Lepisosteus oculatus: one gene and its partner. The protein of the gene in region 1 purifies or fractionates together with the protein of each later gene. This does not show direct contact. Links are inferred from orthologs where the notes say so. Each region holds a gene or a part of one and is shown in the gene's direction. Other genes may lie near its edges.

Region 1 (15,521 bases):
ACAATATTATGCTTAGGAAGAAAAACAGGATTTAGCCCAGAGATGTGAATTTTATAGATTTGCAAAACATACTGTAACTTCACTTCATTAGTGGGTAAATGTCCCACTAATGCAATAAATCATATTAAAGGAAAGAAAGTAAAAACGTGTTTCTGGAAGGTTTTCAAATTACCATTGCTCTTCAGATCTTTTCATAAAAAAAGGCTCTTTTTACAGCGATTTACATGTTGTGTTCTAAATCTAGGCCTCAAGGTTGAATTTTCCAGGAGTGTACACCTCACAGGTGCATATCAAAGTAGAGATTAGCTTTACTGGGAACTGAAATGAACAGCAAACTTACTTCAAGGCCGGTGAAAAGAATCCTGGTTATCCAGATTTTAATAACCATGGTGACGGTGTCGTCAAGGTCTCAGAGTAACTACTACTGTTACTCTGTTGATCCCAAGCCGTATTCATCCTAAACTCAAGGCTGGCTAAAGATGTACTTTCAGCCTTATGTAAGGGTTGCCTTGTGACACCAGTCGGGTTTGGAAACTCTCGGGTGCAGCTGTGATGTTAGGACATAATGCCACAGGCTGCCTCCTGTTTCAACAGCTAGGGAAAAACCTGGACAGAGGGAACAAAGGGTATGAATGTGATATAACTTGAATTGACAGTATATAAGGAAAATTCCTGAAAAAAAATAAGTATTTGAAAAACAAACAGTTGCTGAAATAAGGAATCTAAAGGGGAATAATAATATTTTTTCCCCTACCTTCAAGTGGACAATGAGATCACTCCTGACAATGAGATCCCCACATCTTAACATATCTTAAACTTCAACTTAAAACAGATTACATTCTATATAAAATACATTTTAGCACTGAAGTCTCCCTTTAGGAATTTTGGGTAATCACAGATTTCTCAAATTTGGCCCATGTGTCAGTCTTCACATATCCCTCCCTCCATCCACGTTCTAACTGCTTCATGAAACTCAGGGTCACGACGGAGCCAGAGCCCGTCCTAGCACGCAACAGGCACAAGGCAGGACACACGCTGGGTGGGACACCAGTCCACCACAGAGCAGGCAGGCATGGATACAAACGTGCACACACTCACACCAAGGCCCTGGAATTTCCCTGGGGTTAACCTGCCAGGAGGCGTTTGGACTGCGGGAGGAGACCCATGAGAACGGGCATGTACAATATCCACTCAGAAGGCACCCTGGATCGGAATTGAACCCAGGGCCCCGTCACTGCCGATCACTGTGCCACCACGTCGCTCGTGTACAGCTTACATCTGACATATATCTGACAAAAACAGGGGAAAATTAAAAGCCTTTGTCCTGACCGATACAGCCCCCTTGTGTTCACTCCCTGTCCAAGATTTCTGAAGGAATGTGCTTGCTCATGAAATCTGCTTTGCCGCTGCGCTCTGTCGACAGGACAGCTGACTTCCTGCCAGGTCGGACGCGCCCGTGAGCCTGCAGAGGCCCCCCCGCCCCCGGCCCCGGAGGATCATGGGAGACGTGCTGGGCTGCCTGAAGCCCTGGCTCGCTGAACTGGAATAGCCCCGGCTCGACCAGAAGCGGGCCCCCGCGCTCCAGCAGGATCGGCGTATGTGGAACCTCACGAAGTGTGGCGGGGCAGTTGGCGTGGCCTAGGGGCAGTGCCAAATTCTGACGAAGGGGAATGGGGCACTTCCTCAGGTGGGCTGAGGCCCCACGCTACAGACGGCTGTCGGTCTGTCTCCCCTCAGCCCACCCCATGGTCTTGTTTATGTAGATGTACTCAGCAAATCCCGTTCCACACAGCCTTCCCTCCTCCTGACTCTTCTTCCCTGTCCTTTCCAACCTGCCCGGACAGAAACTGGTACCCCAGTTGCTCAGACTGAGTTTCGGTATCTTCTCCAGTGGGTGGCTACGGGCTGTACTGCGTTTTTATTGACTGAACAAGAAGCCAGTGAATGAAATCTTCTGCATCCTGGCCAGAATACAGTACACGAGGTTCACCTGTTACTGGTACCAGTGGAAAGTGAACCTTATTTCTTTATGATGAGGCTAAAGAGACAAGAGATGAAAAACAAATGAGAGAAAATGTAGAGAATGCAGGTAAGATGGCAATAGTATACAGAGAGGAGGACAAATGTATGTGAGACACAGAAAGAAAGTGGATTCATGTCTATACAGAAAGGACAGAATAGTATATACTCCACATCTGTAGCGCAGCACTAACAGTGAGTATGGCTTCAGTGTCTGTTTATCAAGTCAGGCTTGACCGAGGTAGGAATAGTTCAAAAAATGGAAAAAGAGTTTCAGTTTGGACTACTTTTGAAGATTATGGCTAATTACGCATGTTTGCCTCTAGGAAAGCTCTATTTTTTTTCAGACTGTTGAAAGGGAGGTTTTCTAAAAACTTGTTCTTTTTTTTTCAAATTTGAAAAGATTTTATCTCCTAAAAGCGGGAACATTCTGGTAGAGGGCAGACTCAGCACAGATCTCAGACGGGATGCAGACCCTAGAAACACCTGATTGGGGTTGTTTATAGGCTGTGTTTTTAATTGAAACATAGACAGATAGGGGAATAACTGTTACCTGAGAGTGGAAAGCTAAATGTGGCCCCCTGGCTGTTGAAAGACTCTGTGAAGTCAGCCGGGCCTTGTCAGCTGGCTGTGGAAGAGAACATTCTAGAAGCACAGCCAGGTGCTGGAGGGGTGTGCGAGACCTGTAACGAGGCATCCACAGCTCCTGGTGAAGGACGTCTCTCATCCAGAGCTGAGCAGCACAGGCTGATTGTTACCTGAATCTGGGAACATGAAAGCCTATCCTCTCCCCACCAAGATGGCTCATAAATACATGTAGACCCATCTTGGTGTGTTAGTCAGATAGCCCACACTGTGAAGCAGTTTGTGTGAGCAACTGCTTTTAGACACAAGAAACTCTGTTAAAACTGAAGTAATGGGGCACTGGCAGGTTATGTCTGCAGAGAGACCGGGTAAGGTTGAAAACTGCCAGTGGACAGTGGATACCACCCAGTTGAATACAGAAGGCCAATGCCTTCTGAAAGGCTGATGCTTTTTGAAACATCTCAACATTTTAAATAGACCATTTAAAAGAGGAATCTTCATTTATTAATGGGTACTTATGACAGCAAACCATTTTACTTTTCTTCATCATTAGCTGGAATTACAATACATGTTTGAGAAATATTCTTGATATCAGGAAACACCCACACCAACAAAGGGATTACATGATAAAGGCTCCTGTATTCTCCACTGACAATCTTGATGTAGATCTACAGTCGCATATGTTCTATAAAGTTTGGGGCTCATCCCAAGTTGTATTGTTAATATTATTAAAATAGCTGGTCTACTTGAAAAATAAGTTTTTTTATTTTTTTACAGCTCCTGAAATTTATGTCATTTATGTTGTTCAAATGTTTATGAAGATTATTCAGTTAGTATTGTTTTGAATACAAAATGAAGAGTTAAATTGTAATTTATGAGCTAAGATCAGTTTATTGTACTTCGCTAATGCCTCAGTATTTCTGATAAAATTCCAGATCTCAGCTCCTTTGTCAATCTAAAGAACACCAGTGAAATTCTTTATCGTTAAATGTTGTTTGTAATGTAACAGTTTATTATGAATCTACACTCTCTGGCCTGAATGCTAGGAACCCCCAGAGAGGAACATGAGGTCCTGTTTCATTTTTGACCTTCTGAAGTCAAAAAACGACATATGAGTAGCCTGTAGTCATGCAGTGTTTGTCACAACATTTTGTAACAGGTGGAGTCTGAGAAGAACTGCAGCTATTTGGTTTGAGCTGTAGTTTCCCATCCTCTTGGTCATGCAAGACAGCATTTTAATACTCAACATTGAGACGAGGAAATTAACAGGACCTCCTTCTGCATGCAAATTCCTCCAGTGTGTTAAAACTTCAAGAAATGATCCAGAATTGTTTGCATTTTGTTTGGATTTGCAGAAGGTTGCAACCCAGTTCCATTTTGATCTGCAATAGGATCACCTTCGGTTGAGAATGTGAGGTGGATGGTGATGTTTGGGATTGAATTGATTTCAGTTGCACCAGTTTTCAACTGGAGCAATCCTTGTAGTGACCAGGGCAGTGGGCGTTTGTCAGCGTTTGTCTGGTGTAAAAGTGCCAACTGACAATCTTTTCAACAAATACGCCTTTACTGTGGGGGAAGAGACACATTGATATGTTACCTTTAGAGAACAGAGAAGCCTCTTGGCTCTTTCTCTCTAAAGCAGCTCAAACACCAGGCCAGAGTTTGGTCTGGCTGTGCCGCTGAGTGACTGTAACTTGACCTGTGTCGACTTCATTTTCCGACATGCTGTGACCAAGCCATGTGAGCAAAAAGAGCAGATGTTTCTCCTCACTGCTGCTATGTTCCCCTGGCATAAACAGAAAAGTAAATCCTGAGCAAAACCACTTTCTACTGTTCTCGCAAATCAAAATCTATGTACAAATTTGCACAATGTTGGTAATACACACCTTGACCCAACACAGCAAAGTGGGCTTGCACAGGTATCCTACTGTATAATTTACTAAATACAATGCATCTCTTTTCTGCTGCTGGTGTGCACATTCTGTTTTCTGTGCCATCATGCTGTGGTCACTCAGCTCCTTACTTTCCAGAGTATTGCAACTAGAAAAAGCAGTCAGAAGGATTGTGAATTACTTGCTTTTTTCCTGGCAATTGATCAATACTTGAGTAACTGTCTAATGATAATTAGTAAACTGCACGTTAATATAATTAGTAGTAGTGGTATTACTACAGTACTTTATCCAAGACAACCTACATTCTAAACAATTATTTTGTGAAAAATAAATTGGTTAATTGATACTTCAGCTAATATAGCAATTCTGCTATGAGTAATAGGTTCTAGGTGTTTTCATCAATATACGACACAGAAACAGGACAAAACAAGGTACAGACACTTGGAATCCGTTAATTTAGCATAAGACCATAAGAATTACACAGTCAAGCACATGAGCCATACAGAAAGAAACATCAGGAGCCCTGCAAATCATTTCAGATGTTGATTTGATAGATTTTGTTTCAGAAGAGTCCCACACAATAAATTGCATAAAATTAACAATAATGTTAGTTTAAAAAATGATTTAGTAAAGTTGGGTAGCATGGCGGCACAGTGGCACAGTGGTTAGCATTAGTGCTGGGCCCCTAGGCTCCATTCCTGACTGGGGGGGCTACCTGTGTGAAGTTTGTACAGGTATGTTCATGCAGGTTTCCTCTGGGTTTCTGGGAAAACTGGCCTTGGTGTGAGCATGTGATATCCGTGTTTGTGCTTGTCTGCCCTGTGATGGACTGGTGTCCTGTCAAGCGTGTATCCTTCCTTGTGTCTGCTGTTTGCTGGAATAAGCTCTGGCTCTCCTGTGACCCTAAATTACAAGAAATTATAAAAAAAATAAATGGATTGATTTAGTAAGGCACTAAATTTAAAGCCACTTTTGTTAAAGCTTTTTGCTCTGCTTGCCAGCCATCCGAAAGGTCAAAGTGCAATGATGTCATCTCAAATCCTTACATAGTATCAGACTCGTGAGTATCAGCCTCATGAAGTCTTAGCCCTTGTCTCATGATATTACGCAGTGCCTGACTAAAAAGTTAAATACAGTCAAAAAACAGAGTATCTCAACACTTTAGGACATGTCCCCAGATATCCTTAGGCTAGAGACCGCAGCATTATGGTTATTTATTGTTTTCTGGAGCTCCTAGTCATATCCAGTGCATTATGGGAGTTCTGTTTCTATGTCACCTAGTGTACAGAAATAAAAAATCAAGCAAGATTGAAAAGGGGGTGCTGTGGTTTCCCCAAAAGCTAGATTACAATACTTATCTCCCAAATTGCAAATGGTTCTAGCCTAAGATAACCAGAACACGTGCAAAGAAAACTGTCAGTGATGTATCTTCAGAATTGAGTCTCCATGTGGACAAAACAAACTTTTTAACAAATGCCCTGTTTTTAAAACTGTGGTTGGAAAAAATGTTTATGGCCAAAGTTTATTTTAGGGGCAGGTTATTTATTTCATATTTCAATTTGTGTATATTTCTACAAAAAAAAAGAGAAAGATGTTGTTTTCTTTTTCAGCCCCTGCAGGAGTTCTCCTTGTCCACCTTGTCCACTATTTGTGTGTATTTACCAGTGTCTTTATCAGTCTGGTTCTGCCGGACTGCCACTTCTTGTTTCTGTACCAGGAAAGGCATTGCTTACACTGCATCTCCCACTCTGTGAGTCAATAAGTATCCTGTGCCAACACTGAGGCATGCCGAACACTTAGAAAATCACATCTGGTAAAAAGTGAAAGCAGAGGTTTATAGACAAAACTGTTGGTGATCTTTGTCAAATTGTGGTGTTTACTTGTATTTTCATCACTATTATAATTTCAAACCTTTAAACCATTGAGGGTAAACAATAAAGACAATGATTATGAGTAAATCTGCAGACCTCATAATACTGAACTAGTCAAGTTAGGATTTTTCAGCTTTCTTTGTTTCAGATTTAAAGTTTTGTGACATTGTCTGTTAATCAATAAAATAATATGCATGGACATTACTGTTGTTGTTGTTTTTATTCCCATTATGTGGAATGCAGAGTCCAAGTCCTTTCTTGTAGACAGCAGGCATTAACACAAGATTCTCTTTTTCCCAAGTCAAAAAGAGTACCTGTTTGAATGTCTTTGACTTTGTATTTGCAGCTTAAATCATGTGTTTTACCATGGTGAGGGTACTCTGAACCCTGTTTTCGTCTAGCGGTATCCTTTCCAATAGTTGTGTTGCGACACAGTTGGCAGTTGCCTGCTTCTGAAATCCTTCCCATCAGTCCTTCTTCAGTACTGCCAGCCATTACAGAAATGAACCCTGAACGCCAAAGTCTGGTGATGTCTTGTCCAGCTTCCAATTAGAGGAATGGCTCATAAGTGTGGCACACACGCAGAGTCGGACCAAGGTTAAGACCTCAGAGCTCTATGATTTCTGTATTTTGTGATTCTAATGGTTTATGAGAAACACTGCTCATGACACTAGCCGCCCCCTAATAATAATAATAATAATAATAATAATAATAATAATAATAATTTCTTACACTTATATAGGGCTTTTCTGGACACTCCACTCAAAGCGCTTTACAGGTAATGGGGACTCCCCTCCACCACCACCAGTGTGCAGCTAACACTGGTTAAAAAATATTCAGCCAATTCACCCCAAACGTAGCTCTTCCTCTTGATTTAGCTTTCTAACAGAAGTTACAGATCAGTCGAGAGGGCTGCCTGATTGACAGTTTTTTTCTTACAACTCAAACTGCTTCTGTCTCTAGAGCTGCTTCATCGGTTGAATCAAACGTGATGGATTTCATCTATCAACATACATGCTTCTGAATTACACCTCCCAAGTGCAGCAGTTATTTTTCCCATTCAATTGGATGAACCGGTTGTCAACTGCTTGTTAAACCTTGTGCTGTTTCTGTTCAAGAACAATTCTCTCCAGACTTGGTTGGATCATTCCAATGACAATACAGTTAACGTACAAAGGAATAGAGGGTCCTGCACAGGTCTCAGCTGCCAGGAACTACTTTGTCTTTGAAATTATCGCACAAATGGACTACACTTGTCAGGTTTCACCTCACTACAAATTTCTTCATACTTGTATTGTACCTCACCAGTTGAAAAGCCCAGATTTGCTTAGCTGCTGAAGTATCAAACAAGCATGATTCCCTCCTTTGGTTTGGAACCTTATATGTTGTTAATTACATAGGTATATAACAAAAATGAAATCACGCATTTAAGTTAGGACACCCTGACCTTAACTTCGTGGCTACAGATTCAAAGTCGCAGGCGGTCTCTTGTGCTGCGCATTTGAACCACGAGCTTAAAGCAAAGGTCAGGATCTGCGCAGGATGTGTGCAGAAAGAGCTGAGTGACGTCGCACGTAGCCAGTAAGGAACGCGGAGCTGCGCAGATACTGCCGGGCTCCGGGCTGCAAGAACGCACAGGCGCAGCTGCGTCAGCCAAAGCGAAGACCCCTGACGCGAAATGATGCTCTTCGGTGCCTCAGCAGTAACAATACGCGCTCATACCTCTTCGAAAGATTCTAACCATATTTTGTTAATAACGAAATGTGGGTTTTTGCGTATTGGTGTGGGCGTACGTGAGACGCAGCGTTTTTACTGGCGACACAGGCACGGCGCTGGCCGGCCCTCGCCGAGTTGAGAGGTCGGGTTAGGACCCCGGCATGCCAACCCAGCACCCGAGTGAGGGCAGGCACGTCTACTTTGATTTTTTAATTTCTGTCCTTTGATCATTCGGAGGAACGTGTCGGGGAAAATGGAAAACGACATACTGGACGCGTTAGAAGACCTGGGGTATGTGAAACTGGTGATGTGATCAAACGTGACAGGATTCCGCGGCTGTTTGCTCACAGTGAGGAGTGTGACACAGCGCGACTGTCACCAGCGTGCTGGCAGCAGTGTTTCTATTCTTAACACAAATACGCGTTACGAGTTGTGTTTGAATCAGAATGAATCGAGTCACTGTTGTTGTTTGGATGTTTCACCGGTAATGTTAGACTCCGCAAATCGGCTGCCCTCCTGGCGCTTCGTGTCGGTAAAGGGAGTTTCAGCTGTTCGATATGTTCATTATTATCCACTAGGGCTTTATAGAAACATTACTAAAGACGTGGCTTTGATTTCATTTACCTGACATTCCTTGCTGGGTTATCGTTATTTAAGAGAATTATGGCGTTGCCGTTATGAAAACACCGTATTATCCTGTGTTTTTGTATGACTTTAATTGTGTTGCTGTGAAAACGTGAACGTGAAAGACCAAATATTTCATAAATTGCGTTAGGGAAGACCTCATTTATTTTCCCTGCATTAATTGCACGGCGCATGGAACCCAAGACTTCTTATTATTGTACCTGTAGGACTCTGTGAGCTGTATCTATCACAACTTTAGTAACCTGCTGAATAAATGAAGCCACTGTAAATGGCCGTTTCATTTCTTCAGAAATAAAGTAATGACATTTTACCTTGGGGTTGTGGTAACAGGTCAGACATCTTGCCCGCCATCCATCCGCTTTCTAACCACTGCTTCCAGTTCAGGGTTGTGGGAGAGCCAGAGTATATCCCAGCAAGCAGCGGGCACAAGGCAGGATACACCCTAAACAGGATGTCAGTCCTTCGCAGGAGGCACACACAAGCGCACATACTCAACAGCAGGGCCGTTTTCCCAGAAGCCAGTTAACCAACCAGAGCACCCGGAGTAAACCCACGGAAAACCCAGGGAGAACATATAAGATCCATGCAGAAAGCACCCAGATATTGACCCCAGAACCCCAGCGGTGCCAACCGCAGCGCCACTGTGTCACTCTCCATCCTGTGCACTCAAAACAAAGTCGAAATCGGTTTGAAGGGTCTGGAAAAGCCCCGACGTCGCTGCGTGTGTTGATAAAGCCCTTTGCTCTTGGCAGCTATAAGGGCCCTCTCCTGGAGGACGGAGCGCTGGACCAGGCAGTGTCCAGCGGGGCAGCCTCCCCCGAGTTCACTAAAGTGTGCGCTTGGATTGTGACCGAGCTCAAGCTCTACTGTAAACTGGAGGAGAACATCCAAGCCACCAACAGTAAGAGAGAAGCCTTTTCGCTTTACTTGTGTGTTTCGTCTCAGCGAGAGTACATTCTGCAACCAACTCTCTTGTTCTCTGTAGTAAATTCTGAGCAGGAGACGTATCTGAATAAAAGTAGTTTTCCAAAGCAGGCTGCCTCTTGTTTGCCCAGGTCCCGGGGAAGCAGAAGGGTTTCAGCTGGAGATCAGCGGCCTGCTGTCCGAGATGATGTGCCCCTATTCTGTTCTCACGTCAGGAGACGTCACCAAACGGCTTATGAACAAGAACAACTGCCTTCTGCTGATCAGTATGTGCACGACAGTAGTCCATTCTTAAGTGAATCATTTGATTTCCCAGAAATGCTAATAACGGCAAAGCACTAAGAAATCAGACTGGAAAGCAGTGACACAGACAGAGGCACCACGTTTCAACACTGCATAGTGCAGAAAACAAGCGTGCACAAATACAGTGATGCAGAAATACTAATCGAATGTAGCCTGTTGCTGTAATCAACTTTAGCACAATCTTGCACTAGATAGAGAAATGCTGTCTGTTTCATTGGTTGCCCTGGAATTTTCAGTTTTTACATTTATTTAAGTCTCAGCACTGACTTAGTATCCGTTCTTTCCTCATTTGTGTTACTGAACAGGTTGATAGGATGTAACTGAAGACCCCACCGTTCCTGTTGAAAAAGAAAATATAAAAAGTCTGTTTAGTGTTCTTAGATTAATGCATGTTTTAATGCCCTTCAGCTTACCTTATTTCTGAGCTGGAGGCCTCAAAAATGATCATCGTCAATAGACCGCAGAAGAAAGTGCAAGAGGCAGGAGGCAGTGAGGTTTTCATGGAATTGAAGGGGATCTGCATGGGACTGGGCATGTCCAAGCCCCCTGCCAACATCTCCATGTTCCAGTTCTTCAGTGGCATCGAGAAGAAGGTACAACACACAGCTCAGCTGGATTCTCCTTGGTATAGAGGCACCCCTCACCAGACCTGAACTCAAAACACACAGATTTCCATGGCTCGGCATTTTGCTTAGTAATTAGGACTCTGATTCTAAGTAGAATTGAGCTATTGAACATTCTCATGAGACAGGCAGACATAAAACCCGGACTGGTGTTACACGGTCAGTGCATTAATTTTCTGCTGTGCTCCAAACTGGTCATATAATTCACATTATTATCCAGAACTACCATCTAAAGAGCACAAGAGTGTTCTGTGTAATGAGGGGAATTAAGGGGGTTAAATTGTAATATGGGATTAGGAAAAAGAGGAGATATATATTAGTTTTAGTGTGACTTCTCCCATAAAAAAAACAGTGTTCTGTATTGAGTTTTGAAACCTTGGTTCTTAGACCATGTTTGTAAGTTCTTGTGTTTGTTTGCTTGAAAACCCAAATCCAAGTTCTTATCATCGTGCATGGCAGTTTTGGTCATGAAGGGGGTCCATCCAGTTTAAAGTTATGCAGGTGTCTTTGTCTGGATCAACAGCTGAAGGAAGCTTTGTCCAAGGTGTCTCCTTATCACGTCGGAAAGCCCCTGATGAAGAAAACGCTGGGACCAGTTCACTGGGTAAATACTGCAGAAAGTGTTGACTGCTGGTGGAGGAGTTATTGCAGGATGCAATCTGTTGTAAGGCAGATAGTTATTTTAAAACTCAAGAAAAGGGTATAACAGACACAAAAACAGTTTATAAATACTTGTATTTTCTTGTAACTGTAAACAATCAAAGGGTTTTATATAACGTTCCTTATTTTCTGTTATGGCAGGCCCTATTTCACTTCATTGACGGGAACTGTGATGAATATATATTCGTCATTTACATTAGCACCTTAACAGACAGAAGAGAACATGCAAAAATGCAAACACTACTTTGCTAGTAGGTCTGAAATACTCCAGTGCAGTTAGTCTTGTTTTTCATTTTGCTAGCATGATATTGCACCCTCAGGAAGTACTGGCTGTGGTGTTGGTAAGGGAAAGTGCTGTGCTTTGCTGTAGCACAATGTAAATGTAAAGCACATGATGTGTCCTTTGGCAGGAGAAGGTTGAAGCCATTAACCAAGCCCTTGCAAATGAATATGAAGTCCGGAGGAAGATGTTGTTGAAACGTCTTGATGTAACAGTTCAGTCATTTGGTTGGTCTGAAAGAGCCAAGGTAAGATGTTCAGTGAAGCTGAACCTTTTCTGCAGTGCTGTATTTCTTATAGATAAACCTGTGCTACTTTAGATTTTGCTTTAAATTTTCACACAGTGACAAGGACTCAAAGAAAATGTGTCGTTTTTCTTTGCTCAGTGACCCTTCATCAGTCCTCTTACGCTTGTGCATTGCAGCTGTAAACGAGGTGTGTATGTTGAGACAGAATCCTGGATGGTCATTTTTACTTCGGCTTTAACCACAAACTTTTTATTTTTAAATCGGAATTTAGGCTCACACTGAAAAGTTGGCCAAAGTGTACCAGCCAAAGCGTGCAGCTCTCGCTGCGAAAAGCACCGTCTCTGTAGCTCATCTCTTCGCTGCGCGGGAGGATCTGTCCAAAATCCTAAGGACGAGCAGTGGGAATATCCGCGAGAGGACTGCCTGTGCCATTAACAAAGTAAGGAGTCACGGAAAAACGAATATACTTTTACCCTGGTGGTGGGGAGGATTGATTGTTTGTGCCAAAAAGAGAAGATGGCTTTTTTTAAATTGAAGAAAAGGAGTTTTTAATAATAATAATAATAATCCCTTATACTTGTATAGTGCTTTTTTTGACACTGCACTCAACAACCTCCACCGCCAACAATGTTCCCCACCTGGATGATGTGATGGCAGCCAGAGTGCCCCGGTACGCTCCCCACACACCAGCTCTCAGTGGGGAGGAGAGCAGAGTGATGGAGCTAGTTCAGAGAGGGGGGTTATTAGGAGGCCATGATTGGTAAAGCCATGACTGGGGTAACATCCCCACTCTTTTGGAGAAATGCCCAGGGATTTTTAATGACTGCAGAGAGTCGGGACCTCTGCATCACATCCGAAGATGGCTCCTTTTTACAGTATAGCATAATTTACTGGGGCATTAGGACCCACACAGACTACAGGGTGAGCGCCCCCTCCTGGCCCTACTAACACTTCTCCAGCAGCAGCCTTAGCTTTCCCAGGAGGTCTCCCCTCCGGGTACTGACCAGGCTCACTCCTGCTGAGCTTCAGAGGGCTGCTGGTTGTGAGTTGCAGGGTGATGTAGCCGCAGGTGAAGTGAAGCTATTCCACTAACGCTGCGGAAGAAAGAGGTGCCCTGATGCAGCTAGCAGGTGTCCTCGGTATCGAGCAGAGGCAGATTTTCATGGTTGTGTCTCCTAGGTGCTGATGGGCCGAGTGCCCGACCGAGGCGGGAGACCCAACGAGATTGAGCCGCCCCCCCCAGAGATGCCCAGCTGGCAGAAGAGACAGGACGGGCCGCAGCAGCACGGAGGAGGCGGGGGTGGGCAGGGGTACGGGGGCGGCGGGGGCAGAGGAGGGGGCAGAGGGGGCTACGAGCAGCCGTCGCAAGGGGGGCGAGGAGGCTACGACCGGGGGGGCAGCAGGGGTGGGGGGGGTGGAAGAGGAGGTAAAGTACAAGGAGGCTGGTCAGACGGAGGAGGCGGCGGCGGCGCGTACCAGGGCAACTACCAGGGCGGGGGTGGCTACCAGGGTGGCAGTGGGGGGTACTCCGGCGGAGCTTTTCATGGCGGCTTTCAGGCGCCGAGTTACCCAGGAAGTGGATACCAGGGTGGCGGGGGCAGCTACCAAGGAGGTGGAGTGGGCGCGTACCAGCAGGACAGCCGATACCAGGAGGGGGGGCACCAGGACAGGGGGGGGCGCGGAGGGCGAGGGGGCCGGGGCCGGGGCAGTCGTGTAGGCCAAGGAGGAGGCTGGGGAGGGAGAGGAGCGCAGAACTACGGCCAGGGAGGGCAGTTCGAGCAGTACTTCCAGCAGGGGGGCTATCAGTATAATCAGGCGGGCTTCGGCCAGGGGCGGCACTACGCCAGTTGAGGACAGCCCCGCGGTCATTGCAGCAGAGCTCACACGTTCGGAGATGAGGAAGGGGGGAATACGCCTTAAACCTTTACAGTTTGCACAGCGACAGTGAGAGCCTGGCAGGAGGTTGAATCTTTTTAATTTGTGCTGGTAAAGGAATTTTGTCAGAGAAAACCGAAACCTGAAATTTTCCTTGCCAAAAAAAAAAAAGGGATAGTTGCCAACAAAAAACAAGTCACATTGTTAATGATTTTTATTTCTCACACTGGCAGTTGTTGCTTTTGATTTTTTTTAATCATATAACAGATGTGACAGTACCTATGCAATCTTTTTTTTTTGTATTGTAATAGGGTGTTCCTTATGTGGGAGAAGAATTATTCCTCATATTTCTTTTCACTCTGGATCCTGCTTCTAAGAATTACCTTCAGATGATTTAATTGTGTCCCACAAGCTGAAAAGACAATATGAGCTCTGTTGTAGTCACTAAAGCTGGAATTTGAATAGCCTTATCCTCTGGATTATTTGAAAAAAAAGGATCTAGTCAAAGTCAAAGTTCAGAGGCTGAGTATTTAATACCACTACACTTTATAACGGTCTGCAAAACTACATGCACATTTCACCAGGTCTGGGGCTCAGAAACATGCTACCGTGTAGTGAAATTCTTGCAGTCCACCAATAGAGTTGTTTGACTTGAAATTTACTTGAAAGAAGTTTTCTTAAATTTGCTTTAAGCATGAGTTTACAAGGTTGGTTCAGCAAAAGTATGAATGAGTTGGTGACAGAACCATGGCCATCTGGGAAGATGACCTTGTGCACCCGGAGGTCTTCTGCTAATGCTGCACCCTTCTGCTGACCAGCCCTGCTTACGTTTTTTGTTACTCAAGAAGGACAAGAAGTGACGTGATACCGTTTGTTGGCTAGTTTGTGTACATAAGTTATGAGAAAATGCTGGAAAGTGTAACTAAATGACAGGTGAGCAATAAAGAAAACTTAAAAATCTGTTTTTGTCTTTGTATATAGGAAATGAACCTCACAGTGTGTGCATGTGCTTATTGGTGATTTTGCAGCAACATTTAAGTAATCCAGTGAAGGGAGCTCATACCTCAGTTTGCCTTGGCAAGGCCCAGTTTGCTGTAGTCTATCCCTCTCAGTGCTGCACTGTTATTGTACCTGACCCTCACCCTTCATCTTGCTGGTTCTGGGCCCACAGGATGGCTGCATGCAGCTGTTTTAGATGATTGAGGGTTCGTAGGTGGTCCAGGTATTCATAAGAACAAACGAGAGGTTACAAATTCAGCCCATTTGGTAGGTGGCTGGTAGTTGGTAAAAAAATCTTATCCAGCTTCTTGAAAGAAACCAGGATATCAGCTTCACCCACTTGGCTCCTGTAGGTACTGTAGCTTGTTCCATACGCCCACAACCCCTTTGGTAAAGAAGTGTCTTCTGGTCTTGGTTTCAATGACAGCAGAACTTGCCTGTTGAATGGCATCTCCAGGCCTGGCTCCAGGAATTGAGTGTATCTCAGATCTCCGTTACAGTCCAGGTTCTTTTGCACTTTTTTTTAAAGCTTCTCAAGTCTTGGGTTTGCTTTTTTTTTTTGTCTGGAACCTCACCTCAGACCTGGCCCAGCCAGGAGCCCTGGGTTCTTGATGACGCAGCTGAGCGGTTCAATGAAACACAAATGTCCCTCCACCACTACAAAGGTGTCAGTTCATTGACTGCCAGGAACTCTGGGACAACCTTGTGCTGCTGGACATTGTGAAACCAAAAATTCCCTGCTGCGATAACCAAGATATTTCCATGAAACTGTAACATTTGAAGTATCTTTCCTATTATACAGTTAAGGAGTAAAAAGTAATTCTCTACTTTAAGCACCTCTGCTCAACAGGAGTCTCCGGTTCTATATTCATATTCTACTTG
Region 2 (16,003 bases), on another chromosome or scaffold:
GTCATCAGTCTGTGTCCATGTGTCTGTCCGAGTAAAGGAAGGTTCTGCGATGGACACAGGGCTCAGTTTGCTTAAAAGACACCAGGACATTTTTCACCGATCTGTCTGTAATCTCTTTATCCATTTGTCTACCTGTTTGTAACATGCCTTTCCATCTACAGTATCTGCCATCCATCTGTCTGTGATCTGTCTATATGTCCAAACGTCCATCAGACAGTTTCATCATCTTTCTGTGTATCCTGGCTGTCTGTCTGAGAAAGGAAAGGTTCTGTGTTCTGTAAAGGTTCTCACATAGGGCTCAGATGGTTTAAAAGTCATCAGGACATTTTTCAACACTAGTTTTGTCATTTGTTTAGAAAGGTTAACAGCTTTAATAATCATTCCGTATACTTATAAAGCGCTTTTCTGGACACTCCACTCAAAGTGCTTTAATAGTAGTGGACTAGTTTAAAGTGCTATACAGTAATGGGGATCCCCTCCACCACCACCAGTGTGCAGCCCCACCTGGATGATGCACCAGTACTCTCCCCACACACCAGCTCTCAGTGGGGAGGAGAGCAGAATGATAAAGCCAGTTCAGAGATGGGGATTATTAGGAGCCCATGACTGGTAAAGGCCAATGGGAAATTTGGCCAGGACACCAGGGTAACACCCCTACTCTTTTGAAGAAACACACTGGGATTTATAATCCCACAGAGAATCAGGACCTCAGTTTTACGTCTCTTCCTTTTTACAGTATAGTGTCCCCACACAGACCACGGGATGAGCGCCCCCTACTGGCCACACTAACACCTCTTCCAGCAGCAACCTCAGTTTTTTCCTGGAGTCTCGCATCCAGGTACTGGCCAGGCTCACACCTGCTGGGCTTCAGTGGGCTGCTGGAATTGCTTTCTAAAGGCAAAACATTGCTTTCTAAGCAGCTGAGAGAGCTTTATCTGAAACGTCTTAACAAATTATTTCTAATCACTCTGTGCATAACACAACATAATTTTCTTTTTCAGGCATTTCTTTGTTGGAGTTTGGCAACTACTGTAAGGTCTGCCTGTGCTGGACTGTGAAGAACTAGGGATGTGCTGCTGTGTTGCTGTTCCTCAGTCTGGTCGCCCTCAGGTGTGTTCTGCTGCATTTTCAACAAAGGATCCTCCTGTTTAAAGACCATAGAGGGTTTTATTATAATTGTATTATTTAAATGGAATTTTCGTCCCCGCCAATGTAAATATCTGCTTACACAGCACTGCCCTCTAGTGGTTCTTTTAAATACAGTGTATTTAACTGTTGAATGGAAATCTCATCTCCATCACTGCTGCGTATAGGTTTTAGTGTTAATTAATAATAATTAATTTATATTTGCTTACACTTATATAGCGCTTTTCTGGACACTCCATTCAAAGCACTTTACAGGTAATGGGGATCCCCTCCCCCACCACCAGTGTGCAGCCCCACCTGGATGATGTACCAGTACTCTCCCCACACACCAGCTCTCAGTGGGGAGGAGAGCAGAGTGATGAAGCCAGTTCAGAGATGGGGATTATTAGGAGGCCATGATTGGTAAAGGCCAGGGGGAAATTTGGCCAGGACACCAGGGTAACACCCCTACTCTTTTCGAGAAATGCCCACAGAGAGACAGGACCTCAGTTTTTCGTCTCATCTGAAGGACGGCACCTTTTTACAGTATAGTGTCCCCGTCACTATACTGGGGCATTAGGACCCACACAGACCACAGTGTGAGCGCCCCCTACTGGCCCCTCTAATATCTCTTCCAGCAGCAGCCTTAGCTTTCCCAGGAGTCTCCCATCCAGGTACTGACCAGGCTCACACTGCTGAGCTTCAGTGAGTTGCCAGTTGTGAGTTGCAGGGTGATGTGGCTGCTGGCATAATGAAAAAAGGGTCTGGAGTTTCTGGATTTGAATCCAGCCCCTTACTGCCTGACCGCAGACCAGCACACTACACCACAAGCCACAGCGCCGTTTTCTTATCATATTTGAATTTCTTAGCTATATGTGGAGATTTGGAAAGCCAGTGTTAGGACAATGAGAGGAAGCTTAAAAAGCTGCTGACTTAAGAGAATTTGGACTTAAATCGAAACAATAAAAGATAGCTTTTGTTTAAAAAAAAAGTCAGGACCAGAAAGACTGGGGAAGAACTGCATTCCAGCTTGTGTGAGAGACAGTCTCTTTTCTCAAAGTGCTAATTATCTCCTGTAAATAACAGCACAGGGAGAGTGGTCAGGGTGAGAGGCCGAGGTCAGCCGAGGGGATGACCAGTGATGTCCTGAGGCTGTTCTCAGGCCGCGGAGAAGGAGATGACCGTTTCCTGGTTGATCGGCGCAGGACAGCAGACGCTAAGGACAGCCCTCCGTGAGTGCAGACACCTCCTGCATGGACTCTTCCTTTCATGTCTGCGTTCCTTCAGTCCCATCCTTGAGGGTCAGAGTTGTTGGTCTCCTTAACGTGTTGCTAATTAACACCTCCGAAAAAGGGGTCAGATATGTTCAGTTAAGTGAATAATTAACTAATCTGGAACTCAAGTGACACATGGATCCCAAAAGGCTTCTGGCGTGAACACGCAGTTAAATACTGCACCCACTGGCTCACAGAACCCAGACATTTGACCTGGGCCTGTGCCTGATCTTAACCTGTTGCTACACAAAAGACAGTCTCTTGTAAACTGTGTTACTTGTAGACCTTTAGTAGTATTTTGGTCCGTCGTTGAGTTTGTGAGGGGGCTTGTATGATTTAGTATTGCTCCCAACAAGAACTACAAACACAAAATGGGTCCATACCGAAGTTTAAAGAAAATATCGGTCTGGACTTCACATTAATTTTCTTCTAATGTAGAAAACACTACTGTGCAGTAAACTGGATTTAATCTGAATAGTGTTGAACTGCCCTTTGTGCTCCTCGAGGGTAATACTGGAGAAATAGAGACCAATACTGGAACCAGTGCTGTTCAGGGTTCAGACAGTGTTTGGAACTGGGGTAGTTGCTGGGTTTTGCTAGGATTACTCTTAGAGTTCCATCCATCACTGGAATATTTGTGTGACTGAAGTCAGGGATGTGCAAGGTGGATCTTCAGGAATCTGATACTCAGAGCGCCTCCCAGTGGACAGTTAACTTCCTGTCCCTTGGACCCTGTTTCCTACAAAGGTTAAACGATTAATAAATGAAGGAAAATGGGCAAGAAAGAGTTGAAGTACAAAAGAAGCAATATCATTTGCGAGCAACATTGAGCAGTGAGCTTCAGTGGGCTGCCAGCTGTGCGTTGCAGGGTGATATGGTGACCTCAGATTCTCTCTTTTCATTCTAACTTTCGAGAAGATGCTGTAGGGTGAGGAGAACAGAGGTAAAGCAGACCTCCCTCTCATGCCCTGCGACTCTTACACAAATGTCTGTCTACAGTGTCTTGCGAAAGTATTCGGCCCCCTTGAACTTTTCAACCTTTTGCCACATTTCAGGCTTCAAACATAAAGATATAAATTTTTTATTTTATGTGAAGAATCACCAACAAGTGGGACACAATTGTGAAGTGGAACGAAATCTATTGGATTTTTGAAACTTTTTTAACTAATAAAAAAATGAAAAGTGGGGCGTGCAAAATTATTCGGCCCCCTTGCGTTAATACTTTGTAGAGCCACCTTTTGCTGCGATTACAGCTGCAAGTCGCTTGGGGTATGTCTCTATCAGTTTTGCACATCGAGAGACTGAAATTCTTGCCCATTCTTCCTTGCAAAACAGCTCGAGCTCAGTGAGGTTGGATGGAGAGCGTTTGTGAACAGCAGTTTTCAGCTCTTTCCACAGATTCAGGTCTGGACTTTGACTTGGCCATTCAAACACCTGGATACGTTTATTTGTGAACCATTCCTTTGTAGATTTTGCTGTATGTTTGGGATCATTGTCTTGTTGGAAGATAAATCTCCGTCCCAGTTTCAGGTCTTTTGCAGACTCCAACAGGTTTTCATCCAGAATGGTCCTGTATTTGGCTGCATCCATCTTCCCCTCAATTTTAACCATCTTCCCTGTCCCTGCTGAAGAAAAGCAGGCCCAAACCATGATGCTGCCACCACCATGTTTGACAGTGGGGATGGTGTGTTGAGGGTGATGAGCTGTGTTGCTTTTACGCCAAACATATCGTTTTGCATTGTGGGCAAAAAGTTCGATTTTGGTTTCATCTGACCAGAGCACCTTCTTCCACATGTTTGGGGTGTCTCCCAGGTGGCTTGTGGCAAACTTTAGACGAGACTTTTTATGGATATCTTTGAGAAATGGCTTTCTTCTTGCCACTCTTCCATAAAGGCCAGATTTGTGCAGTGTATGACTGATTGTTGTCCTATGGACAGACTCTCCCACCTCAGCTGTAGTTCTCTGCAGTTCATCCAGAGTGATCATGGGCCTCTTGGCTGCATCTCTGATCAGTCTTCTCCTTGTCTGAGCTGAAAGTTTAGAGGGACGGCCAGGTCTTGGTAGATTTGCAGTGGTCTGATACTCCTTCCATTTCAAGATGATCGCTTGCATAGTGCTCCTTGGGATGTTTGAAGCTTGGGAAATCTTTTTGTATCCAAATCCGGCTTTAAACTTCTCCACAACAGTATTACGGACCTGCCTGGTGTGTTCCTTGGTCTTCATGATGCTCTCTGCGCTTTCAACAGAACCTTGAGACTATCACAGAGCAGGTGCATTTATACAGAGACTTGATTACACACAGGTGGATTCTATTTATCACCATCAGTCATTTAGGACAACATTGGATCATTCAGAGATCCTCGCTGAACTTCTGGAGTGAGTTTGCTGCACTGAAAGTAAAGGGGCCGAATAATTTTGCACGCCCCACTTTTCATTTTTTTATTAGTTAAAAAAGTTTCAAAAATCCAATAGATTTCGTTCCACTTCACAATTGTGTCCCACTTGTTGGTGATTCTTCACATAAAATAAAAAATTTATATCTTTATGTTTGAAGCCTGAAATGTGGCAAAAGGTTGAAAAGTTCAAGGGGGCCGAATACTTTCGCAAGGCACTGTATACTGTCGTCTTTCCTAAATTCAAGCACCTGTGCAGCGAATCGTGACCCTCTGTGAGATGGAAATTACTTTGTGCAGTTTGCAAGCTGTTATGGAAAGCTGCAGTGCTTGAAGAAAAGTTTGGTGATGAACAAACCAAAGAAAAAAAAGTCACCCCTTTCTTGTGTGGAGCAAACGACTCCAAAACAGAAATTCTTCACATTAATTCAGTGCATTGAATTATAGATTCAGGGCACTGTGGTCCCTGAGAACTGAGAGGAAGTAAATTTGTATGCAGCAAAACACCAAGCTCAGAAAGGGAGACTGCAAAAACAACAGTGTCCTGCAAGGAGGCCTGGATCTGAATTTGTTGTGTGAATGCCAGAATTATTATTTTTTCAAAAATTATGTTAGATGGTTGTGATTTATACATGAGCCTAATTTTTACGTCCTTTTTATTTTGTTTATGTTTTTTTGTTCCTCTTCTTTAATTACAGGCGAAATCAGCTTCTTCTACAGTCACCAGGGTTGTGAAACCGCCAGGAAGGCGGCACGTCAGCAGTTTCCGTAGAAGCGAGGGGGGCCGCCAGGAAGCGCAGTTACAACCTTGGCCAGCAGGGGGAGTCTTTCAGTCATGCAGCGGTTTTTCCATCCGTCCTTCTAAAATCTGAAATCAATTATTATTCCTGGGAAAGGTTGCAGCTGCTGGAGCTTATCCCTGGGTTGGGTTGTTTTTATTATTAAAAGCAATTAACCTGTCATTTCTGGTGGTTATAATATAGAGCGTGTGATGTTTTCCCGAGTTTAACTGTATCAGACAGATACAAGGAAACTTCATTCGAAATTTCGTGCACACACAAAATGTTTTAGCAAGTGAATATACGCTAAAGTGACCTACTGTGGTGCAGTTAAGTTGAACTAAGTCAGGTGATACCGGGTGGGGCTGCACACTGGTGGTGGTGGAGGGGATCCTCATTACCTGTAAAGCGCTATATAAGTGTAAGCAATGATGATGATGATACTGATGATGATGATGATTATTTTCTCATTCTGATATCTATAAAAATCTTCGTATTACAGCCTCTAGGAGGCAGTAGAGGACAGCAGAGCTGTTGGACCGCAGGGGACAGGTGCTGTACCTGCAGCGGTGATTCATGTGCAGGTGAGACCGTACTCTGGGTGTGAGGAATGCGGGCGCCGCGGAGCATGGAGATTGTGCAGAAGGGTTTTGAAAAGCAAACAGCCAATACGTCCTGTATTCCAGGATGTTCTGTGTGAATCACGATTGTCCTCTCGCCATGGAAAATGCGCTCTGTTTGTTTCCTCAAAACGCCTGTGCTGCTCACCCAGTATGAACTCAGTGAAGGGTGACTCGTGGCGTGACACAGCGCCGTTTTCGGCTGCTACCATTAGTTTTCTTAGCATGTCTTAGACCTGCTTATGTTTTGAAAATCGCATCCTTGCGATTGAACCTAGCTATAATGTACTAACAATATAGGCAGGCAAGACCCACATTTAAATAAAGCGTGGATGTCTCTCTAAATGATGGCCCTGCCTATGAATGCCGTTATTTCACAAGAGCGTCTCCTGCCGTTTGGAAGCGCAGCTCTGTGTAACTGGGTGTCGGACTTCACAAAAGGGGCGCCCCTTCTAAAATTCACCCTACATTCACGGGACGCGCCCCCGCCTCCCATTGAGCACGCCGAAGAGTTTGTTCCGGCAGAACGAGGGATCTTTCATTAAGCTTCGCCCGCGGTGCCCCAGCCCGGCATTCCCCGAGCCTGACGACCCCGCTCCTGATTGTGTGTGACAAGCAGCAGGTGCGGGCCTGGTTATAATGGGAAAGGGGGTGGGTGGTGGCGTCTTAGATGTCTCTACAAATAGCTGTTCCGGCGGACCGGACTAGAGCTGCAACTGCTTCTGCAGGATCGTCGTCCTCGGTATCCCTATACCTTCCTAGCGCTCTTCAGCGGCTTCTTTACCATAGCCCTGAGCACTTGAACTGTTATTAAACTGTTCGCTCTATATAATCGTGCCTTTTAAATATGATTATTGGATCATCGGTTCATAAGGGCCAAGTAATAGGTTTATTCATAAGGGCTACTGCTAATGTGATACCGCCGGACCGGGGCGTATTCGGGAAAAAATATTAACTAAGGCAAACATGTTGTTTAAAAATCTGTATACTCATTATATTTATACACGTGTAATATAAACTTTCTCTTACTGGAACTGCAGAAGCACCCTTAAACTGCCGCTTCATTCATCACATTTTACTGGTATATAATCTGGTATCAAAAAATGACGCTACCCCCAATTCTGAAGAAGGCTCCACGGCCGAAACGTTGTTTTCTTTCTTCCTGTTTTCAGCATGGAATAAACCTATTACTTGTTCCTATAATCCTTTATTCTACTTGAAGATTGCCTTCAGTAATCTCATTCTGCGCCCTATTCAGAATTGGGCGTAGCGTCATTTTTTTAAAAGGATGTTTAAAAATGCTGAACTGAAATGTTTTTTTTTGCTGAAACATGCATCTTATTGCTCTTTAAATAAAGCAAAGCAGTTTCGCGTAGTTACTTGCTTACAATTCGCGGCGTCTTACAGCACCTGGGTGGTGTTTGAATCTAAGATTGTTCATATACGTCACAGGAGGAGAGGAGGAGCTGTTTTGTTTTTAAAGATTTAAAAGAGGAATTCTACCTTAAAAGCATTAATAGAGGGATGATTGCGACCCCTCTGCGTGTTATTAGCAAACCACCTGATTTCGAAGGAACTGCCGGTATTCGCTTAGTCAGCCACACGTGCTTAATGACACCCGAGTGATCTCTTTTCGTGGAGGAAAACCAACCTTTCTAAAAAACAAAAACCAGCATCTCTTCTCTGCGCTATGACAATTAGCCTATATTTTAACTTCGGTCACCTTGTCACAATAGTCCTTAAGTGCTATAGGTTGGAGACTGATTAATATACAAGAACATAACATTTAGAATCGCACGTATGGGTAATAAGTATAGATGCATGCACGCTGAAACACTTGTTTTTCAGGACTGTGTTTGGGGGAGAGGTTGCCCAGCGTGAGCGTCACGCTCATGTGACGAGAGACCGGGTCAGAAGGTGCCGGGTCTTTGTGAATACCGTACAGTAAAAACACGTTTCCGAAGGTGCTGGGCCAGTAAGTGAGTTGTAAGCCGGTCTATAAGAAGACGCCGAGACAGCCTGGGTCCCTTGAGTCATATACACGTGACGACGAGAAGTTTAAAAATGGGTTACCGTGTAACAGGCTGAAGTAACGTTCTGGAAAACTCGCTACAAGGGGGTGGAGAGACAGAGAGAGAGGAGGAGGGAGGGGGGGTTCAGGCAATTAAACTTTACACCTAAAATTGGGTGAAATGCAGGAATGCGGGCTGGGTACATAATGCACCCCCTCTCTATCAAGGTATTTAACTGCTACCTGCGTGTATGACTAAGTATCGAAGTAAAAAAAAATGTTAATATGACTCCGCCACCGAGCACTCCAAGACCGAGACGAAGGGGTATTTATTTTATTTAAAAGCATGTACAGTATGCATGTTCGGCGGGGAAGACCGTGAGACCGGCGAGGAACGTCAAAGCGAAAGAGCCCCGTGCCTGCACACGCTACACGCACGGTTCGCCTGGTGTGAGAGGAGAGCGGTGCCGACGGCGCTACTTCCACCGGCTGACTGCTGACGTTGATCCTCTCGGTCCAGCCTCTCGCCGGAGCGGCAGCAGCAGAGACCAAGCGAGGCAGCGCTGGGGTCGCGGCGTCGATTGGGTAGGGCCGCGGTCCTGCACCCCCCCCACTCTCTCTCGCTCGGTGAGCCCGGTGAGCAGTGCGCACTGGCCGGAGCCGGGGAGTCTCCTGCTACACTTCAATGGAGGAACAGCCCAGCGTGCGGGCACCTCAGCAGCGCTACCACCATGGAGGAGAGAGGAGCCCGACCCGGCCCAGGAAAACGCTGAAAAATGAGCCGAGCCACTGCCAGCACCACCACCAGGAAACGCAGGCGAAGAAAACAGGTCGGGTTTGCTTAGCTAAGGCCAGAAACAGCTGAAGATGGGGAATTATTTGAGCTGGAAGTTGGGTGCGTGAGTCTCCACTGTGAGACGGCGGAGGGTAGCTGTCTGTAATATGGAGATTGACCTTGTGCTGCCGGTTAGCAGCGATTCCTGGTCACTTTTTTTAGACGTATCTAAGGAGGGCGGACGCCGCCTGGCACGCTGGTTTACAGTAAAAGACTCTTTTCTCGAACTGTCTCGGGGTGGGTCGTGCGAAAGGGCCAGTTTTAATTGAGAAAATCGCGGGGTTTTGAGTGCTCGTCTCCCCCCTTACCAACACAAGCCGGCTCCGCTGGAATGTGCTTTTCCTCAGTTTACTCGGCTGCTATTTCCTGTCCGCCATGTTGGTAGCGAAAATCCCAGCACCGGGCTCTCAAACCATGACTTTCTACAGCTGTCGGTGCCGTCGTGGCACCCCCGGGAAGTTCAGGGGATTGATTTTCTCGTTTTGTGTGGTGAAAGTGGGCGCCAGCGTAGTATTTTACTGAGACCCCGGATCGCTCTCCTTGAGTCTGTGGGCCCTGTTGCTCTCTGCTGTTCCGGAGGCGGCGGCGGCGGGGGGGGCCTACAATCGGAGAGCCGGTGTTCAACAAAAATGCAGCAAAATACCCGCAAAGACGAATCTTCCAAAGATCCGATCAAACCAGTGTCGTGTTTTTAGTGTCCTGGGACGGTGTCCTTCCGTGCAAGGCCGCGCCGGAGACCCGTCTCCTCTGTCGGCAGCAGAGAGGACTTGACAGCCGCCCGCCCGGAGACGGGGTGCCCAGTCATTTTCGTTTTTCACGTAAAATAGGAAAACGGAACAGTAAATGAAAAATGTTTAAAATAAAGCCGCGAGTTACAGATGCACCTCAATGCTTTAAGATGGTTTTTTAGTTAACTTGGAGAACTGACCCAGTTTACGTTTTTGTCCAAAATTGGTAGCACATACTTTTTTATTTTTGGGAAGGTTGTTGTAGTCGATAATGAAATACCACGGGTCTCAGTTACCCTCTTCCCTCGTATAGCATCTTCATTTTCCTCGGGATATTTGCCCGTGTACCCGTTTTCGTGAGGCTGGTTGTGCTCTTATTAATAGTGGCCATGCTTTTGAGCTGTATGTACACATATATCATTCATAGGAAGCCGTGTGTGTGTATGTGGACACTTTTGGTATTTGGGGGGCGATTAATCTGTTTTAAATAAGCGTTTAGCCGACCAGGAGAAGGAACGTGTTGAGGCGGAAGAACTGCTGCTCGTGCAGTTTGTGGAGATCTCGCGTGCCCGAGAGCTCCGGCAGCCGGGGAAGCGCCACGCGAGGCGGAGCGAGCTCTTCCACGCTTCTTGGCAAATCCCAGCAACATGTTGCGGAGTCGCCTTAAGTCGCTCGCAAAAGCCAAACCGACGCGTAATGGGGATGATGGCGAAGCGGGGAGGCCGAGAACGCTACGCTTCGTGTAGTTTTTTTAAAAAAAACAAGTTGGCGTGAGGGCAGACGTTGAGTTCGTGTGCATCAGCACCACCACTCCTGAACCGCGGCGTGGAGAGGGTCCCACTGCGCCACGCGAACAGCGGGGAGAATCGATCACATGGGGTTTTAGTGGAGCGTTGCCCCTTTTTGTTTTCAAAAAGAGAACAGTTCTGGCGCCGTCACAGCACAAGATCAGTCAGATTATCACCATAGATCGCACATTGTTTTCCAAAGACACCACAGGCCCTCTCTCGCTCCTTTAAAGCTGCTTGTGGTGGACAGACTAGGGTCGCTTTCAGCGCAAGCGTGGGGTGGTTGTTCTCATTTCTACCTTCACCTTAGTCTTGCATTTGGCCTGCTGGGCTGGAGCGACTGGCTCACTCCTACCATGTCTAACACGTGTAGGGAGTGTAGCGTGCCTGTGAGCTCACTGGACAGCACGGTAATGGAATAGCACAGATTTGTATTTCAGTGCTAACTGCCACTAGAAAGATCCCCTGTGTATTGGATGGGACATAATCAGGTGAACTGCAGGAGAGATGATTTCTGCATCTTGGAAAGCTTTGATTTAAAGCCTAGAAAGGCTGCATTTTAGTAACCTTTTTTTGTGGTAAGTGTACACCTGTGTAAGCCTGTGAAAAGCTCGGGTGCGTGTAATAGGCACAGTTAATGCCTTCATGCTGAAAACATAGCGCTCTTTTTACCTCGGTACAGGGTGCCCACTGTCATGGAAATCCTGGAAGAGGTATGGAAAGTGAAATTTCATTTTCCAGACCTGGAAAAGTTTTGAAAATGATAAAAAAATAGAATATCCATTACGTTTTGGGGAAAAGTTATAGGATTTTTTTTTAAGTTGACCCAAGATGATCAGGGCTGTATCATATGATTTTGCTAGCAAACTTTTAAAAAGAGGCCGTTGGCAACAGTACACCGCGTCAGTCCCTCTCGCGGGAATGTTATAGTGAGCCATGAGCTCGCCTCGCGCCCATTTCAGAATGGCAGGTGAATGTGTTTTCAGTGACCTCTGGTTAGCAGGTGAAAAACACAAGCTATCGCTCCGAACGGATGAAGACCCAGGACGTGCAAGATGTAAATGATGCAGGAAGAGAAGTTAGGGAAAAGCTTTGGCATTTTGCTGGTAGAAGCGAGTAGGAGCCCTGCCAGTCGTGCTTGTGGGAGCACCTGCATCGACGGGTGTTAAATAGTCCGATGTCTTTGCTTGTTGCAGACGGGAGATCCTCGTGTGGTTGACTGCCACAGTAAAATAGCTTCTCGGAGGACGTGTGTGTGTGTGTGTGTGTGTGTGTGTGGCAGCTAGGTCTGTATTCCAGACAGAACCCGTCCGATCCTCTTCTGCTTGTGGGGGGGCCCCCCCGATTCCGCTAGGAGAGGGGACCGGCTTTCCTGAAACTCTTCCTGCTGGGCTTGTTCATGTGGGGAGGCAGCAGCATGAGGTGATTTACGTCCTGGGAAAGAAGGGAGACGGTTCACTCAGAACACAAGCACTAAGGGTGGAGGGGAGCTGGCTGGATACTGCCCCTTCCACAGGCTTCCAGTGCAGGTTAGTCTTCACGTCTGCGCTCGGGCTGACTACCCCAGGCCTGGCTGGGCCAGTCTCTCGCCATGCTGCAGCTGTTGCAGTGGAGGACACAGGAGGAGAGACGCTAAGGGTCTCTTCTTGCTGTACAAGCTAGGGGTCCGAGGGTTGATGGCGATTCACCGTATGAAACTGACTTTGACGTTTTCTCTGCAGTGGGAGTTATAAATGGGAGCAGACCACACAGGTTAAAGACGAGCTCCGAGGATGGGATGGGGTGGTCTCTCAAGCTTGTTTATTTTGATTGTGTTTGTTACGCTGTTATGAAGTGTTGCACAACCCCACTGCAGCTTACTAGGAACTCTGTTGTTTGGAGAGCTGCCAGAAATTGAGGGAAGAGCTATATTTGCCAAAATGTTGCTAAGCTAATATTTGATAACGAACGTGTTATAACAGTTCTGTGGGATGGAAGTGTTAATGTTACTGAGTTTCATTTCTAAAAAATATTGCGCTGGGCGTTGAATCGGCAGTGTCTCCTACTTAACACGACTTCTGAACTCGAATTAGATTGTAACGTGCTCGTCTTCTTCCTGTTTAGAAAAGAAAATGCTTTTTTTTTTTTGCTAAAGCCAGACCAGAAATATAACCGCTCATACATGATCTAAAATTCTTAGAACTTCAGTTTTGATGCAGAAGATCTATTAAAAATCTGTGACGACACAGACCTCTGCTCAGACCGCTGGGGTTTTTCAGCAGCCTTTAAACTGATTTTAAACTTACGGCCAGCAGTGACACACCCTGTGACACACAGCTGGCCGCCCACTGGAGCTCAGCAGGTGGGAGCCTGGCCAGTACCTGGATGGGAGACCTCCTGGGAAAAACTAAGGCTGCTGGTGGAAGGGGTGTTAGTGGGGCCAGTAGGGGGTGCTCACCCTGCGGTCTGTGTGAGTCCTAATGCCCCAGTATAGTGACAGGGACACTACTGTAAAAAGGCGCCATGCTTCGGATGAGACGTAAAACTGAGGTCCTGACTCTATGTGGTCATTAAAAATCCCAGGGTGTTTCTCGAAAAGAGTAGGGGTGTTACCCTGGTGTCCTGGCCAAATTTCCTCCTGGCCTTTGCCAATCATGGCCTCCTAATAATCCCCATCTCTGAACTGGCTTCATCACTCTGCTCTCCTCCCCACTGAGAGCTGGTGTGTGGGGAGAGTACTGGTGCATCATCCAGGTGGGGCTGCACACTGGTGGGGGTGGAGCGGATCCCCATTACCTGTAAAGCGCTTTGAGTGGAGTGTCCAGAAAAGCGCTATATAAGTGTCAGCAATTATGTATCATTATTTACTCTTGGTTTTCTCTGGTTATTTTGTAGGAAATGGCAAAATAAACGGCAGCGCAGCGGAGAGAGAGAAGATCCTGTCTGCCAGCGATTCCGCCGAGCTCCTCGGTCCCGGGAATGGCAGCAGGCAGCTGGTAGACCCTCCCCCCAGACCCCGCCAGGCAGCCAGGACTGCGGACACTCTCGCCAAAGTGGGGAGCAAAGCCGGCCCTGGTCATAAGACCAGTATGGACAGCAGGAGTGACAGGCCCGCGGACAGGAAGGAGCCGGCGCCGCTCCTGAACGGAGTCGTGGCCCTGAGCTCGGGCTGCGTCGCCAACGGCTACCCCGGCGGCGGCGGTGGCGGCCGGCCGGCGGCGGACAACGACGGCAGCGGGTCGGAGAGCGGCTACACCACGCCCAAGAAGCGCAAGGCCAGGCGCAACAGCGTGAAGGAGCCGCAGGAGCCCGAGCCCTGCGGGGCCAGGCCCGACGCCCCCCCGAGCCGGGCCAAGCTGGGGTCCGGCGGGCCGGCGGCGGGGGTCCCGGCCGGGCCGGCGGGCGAGCTGCAGAGGAAGAACTCGGACAGCAAGGCGGCCGGGTGTCCCGGCAAGAAATTCGAGGACAAGCCCGGCAAGGTCAAGCCCGCCAGCTCGGTGGCGCCCCGAGAGGACTCGTGGACCCTGTTCAAGCCCCCCCCCGTCTTTCCAGTGGACAACAGCAGCGCCAAGATTGTCCCCAAGATCAGTTATGCAAGCAAAGTCAAGGAGAACCTCAACAAGGAGAGCCAGGCCCCCCCGCTGCCCGCCCGGCTGTCTCACGTCCCCATGTCCGCTGTGAAGACCGGCGCCTCGGCGGCCTTTGCGAACGGGCCCGTCTCCGCGGAGGCGGCCTGCTGCTCGCCGGCCGGGCCCCTCCTCGGCGCTGCTTGTCCCGAGACGCCCGCCCCCGCGGTGCCGGCGGGCGAGAATGTAGCCTCGTCGCCCGACAGCAGCGGCGGCAGCGGGGAGCCCAGGAAACCCGGCCTCTTCGTGTACCCTTTGACCCCTGCGCATATGCAAGCCGCGCTGCCCAGCGCCCGCCCGGTGGATGTACCCTCGCAGCAGAAGGCCCTGGGGGACATCTTCCAGAACCAGTGGGGGCTGTCCTTCATCAACGAGCCCAGCGCAGGGCCCGAGGGGGCGCCGGGGCGGCCCGCGGTGGGGGGCGGGGGGGCGGCCGAGGTGACGTTCCAGGGGCAGTGCGCCGCGCGGGGCGCCGAGGCCCCAGGGCTGGACCGCCCGACCCTCCCAAAGGCTTCTGACCTCGACAAACGGACTAGCCCCCATTCCCTCGCCAGTGTTTTCAAAACGTGCCCCCCCGCCCCTGCCGCCGAGGGGGGGGCGCCACTTCAGCCTCTCGTGCCGGACCCCCAGAAGGGCGAGGCGGGGAGCCCAGGTGCAATAGAGTTCGCTTCTGCTAAGGACCTTGGTGCCGAATCGCCTCAGGCCTCCCCAGCCAATCCTGTGTTGACTGCGGCCAAAGAACAGGGCCAGACGAAAGCCTGTGACAGGAGTAGTAGCTGGGGCTCATTTGATCTAAAAGCTGCTGTAATTTATCACACTAAAGGTAATGCATCTCGGGCTTGAGGGCAGTGCGATGTCCTTTTCCACCGCGGGTGGTGTTTAAGGAGGCCTGCCTGGGCGCTGTCGTCCCTTTTCCGGTCTGTAGAGCTGTGCCTCTCGCGGAGTTGAGAAATGAGCCCAGGATGGCTGGGGATCGGGAGTGTTTGGAAATCGGAGCTGCGCAGCTCTGGAAAGGCCGATGATTCCAGGGAAGTACCTGGCAGTGAGCGGTCTGCCAGCGTCTCCCTGGTGAAGGGGTCGGAGAGCCAGCCCTGGGTTCACGCGCGTGCAGTCTAGACGCCAGCTCTCCCTGGAGCAGGCCTGCCTGACGCTGCTGAACCTCAGAGGGTGGATAAGCGCTGAGAGTTGTTTTTTTGGGTGGTGGGGGTTACTTGTTTTTAACTGAGGTGTGAGAAGAAAAATGTGCATCTCATGTACTGATCTGTTTTCTCTTTGTTTTTTTTCCTATTTCCTATTTTCCTAACACTATTCTGTTATGTTCTTTCTCTCCTGTTGCATCAGTACAGTGTTTATTTTTAAAGAGTTTTTTTTCAATTCTGTAGGCCTGAAACCTAATGAAATCTGTGCTGAGACGTGTAGAAAAGACTAAAACCACTGCACTAGTATTGATCTGCCAGAAGAAAACATTTTAAGGATTAGTGGCTATCTCGTATATGCGATGCATGCATGTGTTCAAGTTTGCATGTATTTTTAATGTGAATCTTTCTTTTATTTTGCAGAAATGGAATATATTTTGACTTTGCAGAAACAAGGTGAGCACTGTGAAGTGTGAGGGGTTTTGGTTGGGCTCTTTTTGGTGAACCATGCTCAGGTTACAGAACAGCAGTGCGGAATGTGGCTGGAGATTCCTGGGTAGTCAGTCAGTCTTCGGGATCAGTCATTAGTAGAAACAAGTTAACAGACCGGTCCCCTCAATCTTGGAGGAGTTTTAGTCCCTGATACCAAAGGGGTTTTGGGGGCAATAGCTGTACTGAGGTACCCCAGCCTCAGAATGAGATCCTGAAA

The links.
Region 2: the proteins of fam98a (region 1) and nufip2 purify together in Homo sapiens (co-immunoprecipitation; 3 studies listed by BioGRID and IntAct, with this or other methods). This does not show direct contact. The link is inferred for Lepisosteus oculatus from reciprocal best matches to the Homo sapiens genes FAM98A and NUFIP2.

Annotation. Positions count from the first base shown.
Region 1 is NC_090712.1:17,468,120-17,483,640, forward strand, and holds fam98a (protein FAM98A), read left to right. Parts: upstream 1-8,197; 5' UTR 8,198-8,336; coding exon 8,337-8,374; intron 8,375-9,480; coding exon 9,481-9,629; intron 9,630-9,783; coding exon 9,784-9,918; intron 9,919-10,363; coding exon 10,364-10,548; intron 10,549-11,101; coding exon 11,102-11,182; intron 11,183-11,648; coding exon 11,649-11,765; intron 11,766-12,036; coding exon 12,037-12,204; intron 12,205-12,944; coding exon 12,945-13,616; 3' UTR 13,617-14,600; downstream 14,601-15,521. Other genes in the region: rasgrp3 (ras guanyl-releasing protein 3), read left to right, coding at 1,429-1,539. UniProt on the Homo sapiens protein: Positively stimulates PRMT1-induced protein arginine methylation. Involved in skeletal homeostasis. Positively regulates lysosome peripheral distribution and ruffled border formation in osteoclasts.
Region 2 is NC_090721.1:9,001,166-9,017,168, reverse strand, and holds the start of nufip2 (FMR1-interacting protein NUFIP2), read left to right. Parts: upstream 1-8,036; 5' UTR 8,037-8,887; coding exon 8,888-9,032; intron 9,033-13,427; coding exon 13,428-14,981; intron 14,982-15,717; coding exon 15,718-15,750; intron 15,751-16,003. UniProt on the Homo sapiens protein: Binds RNA.